Linked DNA regions of Mus musculus: region 1 is reported to be linked to region 2. Evidence: microRNA targets listed by miRTarBase, many of them from high-throughput screens and not tested one by one. Region 2 holds a microRNA gene; the other region holds the end of a gene's coding sequence.
The links. Region 2 holds the annotated microRNA mmu-miR-3103-3p (UAACCUCUGAUCCUUCCCACAG, at 2,960-2,981, opposite strand). A microRNA usually pairs through its seed, bases 2 to 8, with sites in the 3' UTR of a target mRNA and lowers its output. Matches are read on the target gene's strand: a 7mer-m8 pairs with bases 2 to 8, a 7mer-A1 pairs with bases 2 to 7 and ends in A, and an 8mer does both.

Region 1 (4,385 bases), not on the chromosome of region 2:
AGAACTAAGAATGCACTTTGAGTTGCTAATTTGAAACAATAAATAGAGAAACATCTGAGAATATGGCATGAAAAGAGGAAAGGACTGGCATCAAGTCTCAAGGAACCAGTCGGGAGAGGGGGTCTGTAGCCCTGGGTCAGAGGAGGAGCCATCAGGGTTCCCAGTGGGGTGCTAGAGGGGCTGGCTTTAGGGCTGGGCAGGGACAGGTCTGGAGATCCCTGTTAGAGCAGCTCAGCCAATGCAGAGGTGGGAGTAAGTGTCTCTCCTGGAAGCTTGCTCAGGAACCATGACTGAGCACAGGATCCTAGTTACAACTTCACCAGTCAGGGTACTTAACCAAGCACCCCTTTCTTCCCTTTTGTGTTTCAAGGCTCTACTGATTTTGGAAATGTCAGTTTCGTGGTTCCTGGGATTCACCCGTATTTTTACATTGGGACTGATGCCTTGAATCACACGGAGCAGTACACAGAAGCTGCAGGTGAGCGCCAGCTGTGAGTACCCGGGGTTCTCTGCCAGCTGTGAGTACCCGGAATTCTCTGCCAGCTGTGAGTACCCGGGTTCGCCTCCTCTTCCTGCTCAGTGCTGCTCTTTAGCCTGTTCTCCCATATAATCACTTCAGAAAACACGGTGTTGTGCTCAGAGGGTGGAGAGGCAGTTTAGATACTGAGAGGTAACCAGAGGAACTAATAAATGTACTGTGATCTAGAGAGAGGTTTTCAATGTGTTTTCTTCACCTCCCAGGATCACAAGCGGCTCAGCTGTACACGCTGCGTACAGCCAAGGCTCTGGCAATGACCGCACTGGACGTCATCTTTAAGCCTGCATTGCTCGAAGGAGTCAGGAAGGAGTTTAAATGTAAACTTCAAGAAGAGCAGCTTTTAAATACAGCAGCATAGAAGGAAACCCTAGGGACTGGTCAGGAAATGTTACGTTTTGTTTGTTTTTTACCTCTCATGTTTTTCAGTGAAAGAGAGCATGCTTGTTTTTCAGTCCTGGTAAGTGAGGACAGATATAGGGAAGAAGACACGAATGCACGTCTAGATTTAGTGGAGTTTGTGATACTGCAGGCGTTGGTGCGTAACGCCATCTATTACGCCAGATGATACCTGATCCTGTAACATTCGGTAATGTTTTGTAAGTGTATCTGCTGTATGGTGTTACAAGTCCCACGGGTTTCAGAAGGTGACACTCATGAACTCTGTGGTTCAGAGTAGGGAATGTCTTCTCGGCAGTTTAAATCGAGGGGGAGACTTGTTTTAAGTCTAACTGTATCTGTTTGGGTCTAAAGAAAAACTTGAAATAAACATATGCTTGTGGGACACTCCTAGAATCCCCAGTACAAAGAATTAGCTCTACTTTTAACACTTAGAGAAGGGGCGAGGAGGAGTGGAGGGAATGGTGGAAGAGGGAGAGGGAGAGAGAGAGAGAGAGAGAGAGAGATCTTTACTTACATGTAATTACTCCAAGAAGTGGCATAGGAACAGTGGGTAGTAACAGGAAAAATGGCAGAAAGGCACAGTTGAGCCTTTCTAGCAGGGTAGGGTGTTGTGTGTTGTGTTACAGGAGTTGGCCGGAGTACAGACTAGGTGTGCTCTGTTCTCCAGTGTCCCACACGGTCCCCAGTCCCTAGCAGCCTCAGAAGAGCCCCAAAGCCCTGTGCTGGCCCAGTAGTAATGTGAACCCATGGCCTTGGAAAGGAGGCTCCGTAGCTCCTAATGAGACTTAGTTAAGCTTCCTGCAGTTTCTCTGGACTTTCTTTTGTGCCTTGTCTGCTCGCTCCCTGGTTTGTGTCACCACAGCATTTGTAGAGCCACAGGAGGGAGTTGTTTTTACAAGGAAGCCAGGATTCGAGCTGGAAATCTGAAACATTTCAGTGGTTGTCAGTAAAATCACTGTCAGTAATGCCCTGGAAAGGAGCGAGTCACATAAAATCAGCAGTTCTTCATGGTCCTCACTGTAGCACAAGTTTCTTTGGTTTTGGTGGGGCTGAGTTTGAGACAGGTTTTCCCTTCTGCCCGCCTCCTCCCCACTCTCTTCCCTCTGCTGCTGCCTCTCAGATGCTGTGATTATAGGCTCGAGCACAGCACACCTGCCATCTAGTGTGAACTTGCACATGATTAAAGTGTGAAGAAGCCGGTAAAACCAACTCGTGGGCATTTGAGGAGGCGGTTCAGAGTCAGAAGTGGAAGGGCACAGGGAAGTGCATTTGCTTCTGTGGTGGAAGCAAGTCACTTTCCCTCAGTGACACCAGCTGCCACTTAGAAGGTTAGCCATCTTTGACCCTTCTAGCCTCTGATTTCCTGTTTGATGTGTACTTTAGAACAGGGAGCGGGGTTGTATTGGAGGGCTAACATCTGAGAACTGCTCTCTGCTGTTCTCTGGCTTGACATAGGCTGGTGTTTGCTTGATTACTTGCCTTTGTGCAGCTAGTATACTAAGAATTGTTTTGCATTTTAGAGGTTAAAAAAAAAACCCCAAAAACAAAAAACCACCATTACCACAAAGCATAAAGTATTTACTGTCTGACCTGTCAGGAAAAAGAAACCTCTCAGAGCCAGTCAATCGGGCAGTTTCTGATTTCTGTTCTCTTGAATTTTCTGGGGAAAGCTTCAAGTCCTGCATTGGAAGCACTTTAGTGTAGATAGGGGCTGCCTGACAGAGTGATCAGGACTGTTCCACCCTCTACTTTGTCCTTCTAGACAGAAGCCTGTTTCAGCTCCCCTCACCCTGCCCCACAAGTCCTCAGCCTTGCCTCTGCACACCACCCGTTCTGTCTTTGCGTAACATTGAGAACTCAGTCCTCCATGACACCTTGTGTCTGGATACTCACACCCGAGTTTATCATATTAAATACAAATTTTGTATAAAGAGGGAGTATCAATGAAAACTTGAATCAAAAAATAAGACATGCCAGAGATGTGGTTTTTTTTTATTGATGGACTTGGTCTCCTAAAAGGCTGTTTTATTAGTTCCTCACATCTTGAGGGATAGGTTTTTTTGTTGATTGATTTAGTTTTGGTTTTTGCAGGGCTTGATATTGAGACCAGGGCTCTAGCACAGAGCTGCATCCCCAGCTCCAGGGCAGGGCATTGGTTGCATTTGCTATAATCTTGACACCATCCTAGAACAGCTGTTGTTATTTATGCAGCCCAACCTCTGAGAATCATGTGTATTCCGTGTCTGGTTTCCTTTTCCTTTTTTTTTTTTTAAGTAAAATTAAATTTGACTGATGTATAAACAATGTCGGGTTTAGGTAGGTAAGGAAGGGTGTGTTTCTTGTTGGAGGTTGCTGCTGTGATTTTACAATTTGCTGTCTTATTGTCCAATGGTTTACCATTTTGAACCACTTACACCATGTCCTTACAAATGCCTTTTCCTGTCACCTGGGAGAGGTGTTACGTCAATGCATTCTAGAATGAGTAAGCTACACTTAGCAGCTTAAATGTAATTACAATCTGAAATTTATTTTCCTTTACCAGCTTAATTCTAAGGAAGCTTGAATATGGGACCTGTGCAGTACAGGTGTTAAAGTTATGTTTCCTTTTTCCTAAATGCCTGAGACCAGCGGTGTTTCAGATTTTAGATTAAAAAAATGTTTTGAAATATTTGCATATATATTATGTAATCTATATTTTATACATATATATGTATATACAAACAGGGAGGGGGAAGATAGAGATGGAACCCAGCTAGAGCTATAAAAATCCCTTTGTGTATCACATGGGCCTGCCCTATGCACACAGCTTGAAGGACGGTGTGCTCAGTGTTTTAGTGTGTCTGAGAGTTAACTGACCTGTGTGCACAGGAGGCCAGTTGTGCAGTTCTCACCTAGGTCGTGCCACTCACAGTTGGATTTCTGGAGCATTTTGGTCAGTCAACCTGGACTGCGAACTAGTAAGTTGCTGTGTATTCTGTGACTGTAGCTAATATTTAGCTTGCCTCAAATTTTTTGAGCTGATATTTAGTCTTAACAAATTCTCCTTATTGGATGAACTGCACAGGAAGTTTTTCTTTTCAACCACGTCTCTCTATGACATAAACGTTGGGGTACTTAGGGTAAAGTAGACACTGCATGTGTTTATGAAGGTGCAAACAGAAAGAAGGGTGTCAAGTGCTACAGTTGCATTGCTGTTGCTGTTTGTAAACTGTGCCGTCTCAGCGTTTGGGTGAGTAAATGTTTGCAACCACTGGAGAAGAGTAAAGGCCCTGTGTGTGGTGCTACATCCTCCTAGGATTTAGTTCACACAGACTATGCCAGGATGGAGGGGCACCTGAAAACTGCCCTGGGAGTTTTGGAGGAAGGGCTTCTAAAATACTTAAAAATACGTGAATCACTTCAGTCTGTTTAAACGGAAAAAAATATTTGATACCAGGTCTTTATATAT
Region 2 (4,385 bases):
GAAAAGGGAAGTCTCGCCAGCCATTATTACCCTGTGACCCTGACTGTAGGAAATTCCAACTTCCTTTCCCCAAGGGTCTTTTTGCCCTCTTTCAATCAGGGTCTTGCCATGTAACCTAGGCTGCCCTAGAACTTGTAATAGTCCTAACTCAGACCCCATGATACTAGAATCACAGGGCTGTGCCCTGCTGGGGTCGTTTTAAAGCCACATCTCTCATCTCCTTGGCTTGCTTTGGCTCTCTCTCTCTGACTGATCGATAAGGTCCAGTCTGGTCTTTGACTTCACGCTTACAGTCTGCCTCCTTATAAGTCCTTTCTTCTTCCTGTCCCAGCCTAGCTCCACTGAGCGCTCCAGGCAGATCTACACTTACTCCAGTGGCCCTGGATTAACGAACTTACATCTCTCCTGAGATCTCTAGAAAGCAACTAGAGCCACTGATAACTTTGACCATCGAGTCTCTTGTAGATGACAGACACAGAATGATGACAGACGGGTTTTTGATGAAGCTTAAGTATAGCTATAAAGGTGGAGGAACTAATTTATTCAAAATCAAGAGAAAAGTGGTGTAAGATGAGGCTCAAGTGACTGGCAGGGAACAGTCTGGTTCCAAATAGAAAACTGGAAGCCTTTAAGGTTTCCAGAGAGCAGTGGCTCAGGCAAGTAACCTAATTTGATTCCTACGTTTACTATTGTGTGTGTGCGCACATGTACACACGTGCTGACGCATGCATGGATGTCAGAGGAGAATCTGCAGGAGCCCCTGCTCTCCTGCCACGTTGAGCCCAGAAACTGAACTCAGGTTGGCAGGTTTGGCTACTGCACCTTGCTGGCCCACTGACCCTAGAGAAATTTTAATTCAGAACAAGGTTGCTCTGGCCAGAGATCACATCCAAAGATGTTCTAGGTCTGTGTGATCCAGATGGAATACAGATACGCCTTTAATCCCAAGGTACAGAGGTAAGCACATTTCTGAGTTCAAGGCCAGCCTGCTATAGAGCACATACATATGTATCAGGCAAAGAAAAGCTTAGGTACAGGTGTGGTGGTGCACGCCTTCAATCCCAGACAATGAAGATAGAGTTAGCTTGTAGAAGGAAGCAGCCATGTTTGAAAGTGATGTCTAATTGAGTGGCAGACAAAGTGACAGATCAAGGAAAGATATGACAGAATGGGACCTGCCCAACTCTCCTGAGAAGAGAGAGGAGAGGGAAGCTGCTCACGGGAGCACTGCAGACAGAGGATGCAGTCTGACCTGGGCAGCTCTGCAGTCACGGGTTAAAAGAAGGAGCCAGAAGAATAGAAAAGATTGCTAGAGTTACTTTGAGGCCAAGCAGAGCAAGCCAGAGGCTAAGAGAACAGCCAGACTGAATCAGTGAGCTTGGAGAGGAGTTTGAGCCAGAACAGCTGAGTTGAACCAGCCGGTCAGAGCTCAGAAAGAACAAGAAAAGGTGAGCATTTTTAGCAGCAAGTCTCAGAGGCTGAACACCTAGGCCTAGACAAGACTGTATGGAAGCTGGGAGCTTTCAGGACTAGGTCTAGGTTGGAAGACAGACGCCGTGAGCCTGGGACATGACAGTTACTACAGGAGAATCAAAGTTCCCTTTACAACTGACTTTCAAGAGAGCGTTGGGCTGTGAAAAGGGCTACAGACTCCCTGGGAAGGAACTTGTCCAGCAGAGGGGCTGCCAGTGAGAGAGGGGGATGAACGGTGGGAAGCTGGAGGAAAACTGGAAGATCTGAGCAGAAAGCGACAACTGAGGTGAGGAGGTAAGGGTGACAGCCAGCTTCTGGCTGCTGTAGCTGTGGAGGGAGTGCTGGTCACAGACTGAAACTCTGCCAAGCCGGATCTTAAGGGGAAAGACAGAACCTTGCTCTGGGACAGTATTTGACAGACACGGGTCTCAGAAGCAGAGCTTGCTGCCGAGTCTGAAAGATATGCCAGAAGTCACAATCCCCAGCTGGTCCCCAGCTCCAGCAGTATCTTCTCTGGGGTTTCCTAACTTGATGATAAAATCAGGGGCAGAAGTTAAGGTGTGTGCAGCATTTACTGCCTGTCCTAAACAAAAAGACTGCTTTACCCCAAATACCAAAAGTGCCTGTGGCTTGGCGGCTTGGCTGCAGTGTAATGCGTCCGGTACTGAGTCTTAGGGCTTTACAGCTCTACATACCTGACTGTAGTGATGGGTTTTCTGACCCTGCTGGGCCTGTTTCCTCATCTGAAGGTGCTGTGAGGGCAAGTGAACCCCACCAGCTTCAGTGGCGATTTGTGCCATTGCTCGCTTGCTCTCTCTCTCTCTCTCATGTGTGTGCGTACGTGTGTGTGTGTGTGTGTGTGTGTGTGTGTGTGTGTGTGTGTGTGTGTGATTTCTTGGTCCTGGAATCATACATAAACTCCTCTTCTTCAGGACTCAGCCTCATGTAGGGCCTTTCTACATCCCAAGACCATTCCTCACCTGGTATGCTCAGAACTGTAACCCCATAGATATCTGTGTAATTATGTGCCATTTCCGTTAAACATGGGAGAGTCTGTGGCCTGGGTCATCCATGCAGTAGGCACTATACAGATGCTTTACTGAAGAATGACAAGCCCCTAGATTCTGGTGTTGGACCACCCTTCACTCTCAGCTCAGAGCACCCTCACCAGCATGTGCTCCAACATGGCCCTGCACAGGCTGGCTGAGGTACAAGGGCTGTCTGGTCAGAGGATCAGAAAACTTGTCTGTGTCTCAGTAGAAACATATGAACTTTGTCCTTTTCGAACTTCCTTCAGTACAGGGACCGGGTAAGCCACACACAGCGTCGGTAAGGATGGTATTGGTATCTCAGGTACAGAAGTGTCCCAGAGGTGGCTACCTTGGCTAGGTTGCTGGTACTGACAGTCATGGTGAAAAAGATTGGGTACATGGGAGCCATAATCTCTAGGAACATGGCTACATCGTTGAGGATGTCGGCAAAGAGCCTGTGGGAAGGATCAGAGGTTAGAGGTCACAAACCAGAGACTTTCTAACAGCAGATCCTCCCTCCTCCCCATACCTCCTCTCTTCTCACCTCCACTGCTTGGCATTGCAGTCCAGTTTGCTCCTGTTGGGATAAGAGGTTGTTGCAATTTAGAACACAGGAAAACTGCTGTGGGCTGTAAGGAGTTGTCAGGTCACGGTCAGGTCTACAGGATTCAGGGTGGAAATATACTGAAGGGGCTCTGGGCAGCTCCAGCGTGCCCACACAGCTCTGGCAGGCCGTACTCCCTCTGCCTTGCTAAAAATTGTTAGGTTACATTCCTAAAGGTAGCTACCAGGGTCTATTCCCTTATTTGGGCACCTCCTCCTCCTGAGGCTGACTACCAAGAACCAGCTAGACAGTATTGAAGTCCAGCAATCAAAAACCCCCTTTGTCCCCTAGTTAAGATGCCCAGTGAAGATTAAACCCCTCATCCTGACACGGGGTTCCCTTTGTACCTTTATAAGCTGCTGTTTTCCCATGGGCCACATCTGTCTCCTCTGTCCAGAGGCAGTCCTTTGTACTCACTCCGGGACAGATGCCCTTTCTCCCTAGTCCTCTCCCTCCTGTCTTTGTCTCTCACTCCCTGCCCTTTGTCCCTCTGGGACGAATCAATCTTCTTTGTGCTTTGGTCTTGGAGGTCCAGGAGAAACGGCTCCTTACTATCACTTTCCTGTCACTGTGAGATCAGGAATTCTTTAGCTGCTTTTCCCCTCCCCAGAAACTGGGCGACACCCTCCTGCAGCTCTCTGATAACAGCAGGGAAGAAAGGCCTTGTAGCCCTTCTCAACTCAGCTGCAAGATAAGTTCACAGTCCGATCTAGTGCTAGCTCCATTTCCCTTAGCAAAAGACTGGGCCAAACTAAGTCACATGGTGTAGATCTTCTACCACGCCTCTGAAAAATCAATGAAGGTCAGATTGCTGCTTGGCAGACTTGAGGCTTTCCCCTTTGGCGCCCCCTGCCCCCCGCACCCCTTTATTACACTGCACATGGCTGCCACCTCTCCTCACCTCACTCCTCTCTGGGTTTTGAAGGGAAGGCCTGCTCCCTTCAGTTGGAGCCCCACCATGCTGTCCTTGGCAGGATGTTATATGTTTCCTAAGTGGTCTCCTACTGCAAGGTGGGAAGCGCTCTCATGATGAAGCTCTCCTGAAAGGTGATTTTCTATCTGCCTCTCTGACCAGTGTTTTGTTCCAATATTCCCAGTCCCCTGAAATATGATCCTTAGCTGGGAAGGTCTTCAGTGAGTGCTGGGTATCTCGCCCGTACTGGCTCTGAGGAAAAATTCTGTTTATTGACAGTTCTCCCACTCTCTGGGCAACCTTTGAAGAGGCTATTCGTGGACCATTCTCCTTTTTGCTTTGCTTCTTTCAAAGGTAACTAAGT

Region 1: the mRNA of Pm20d2 is a reported target of mmu-miR-3103-3p. Seed matches in the 3' UTR shown: 8mer at 2,456-2,463.

What each region holds. Positions count from the first base shown.
Region 1 is chr4:33,170,837-33,175,221 of GRCm38, reverse strand. It overlaps Pm20d2 (peptidase M20 domain containing 2), which reads left to right. Exons shown (of 7, transcript NM_001034867.2): 6 at 371-478; 7 at 742-4,385. The coding sequence ends at 896. Among named protein-coding and RNA genes, the nearest start is that of Pm20d2, 17 kb to the left of the region's middle.
Region 2 is chr7:128,285,411-128,289,795 of GRCm38, forward strand. Mir3103 (microRNA 3103) reads right to left here and starts at 3,025; the gene lies at 2,959-3,025. It overlaps Rusf1 (RUS family member 1), which reads right to left. Exons shown (of 13, transcript NM_145590.2): 4 at 3,049-3,081; 5 at 2,854-2,959.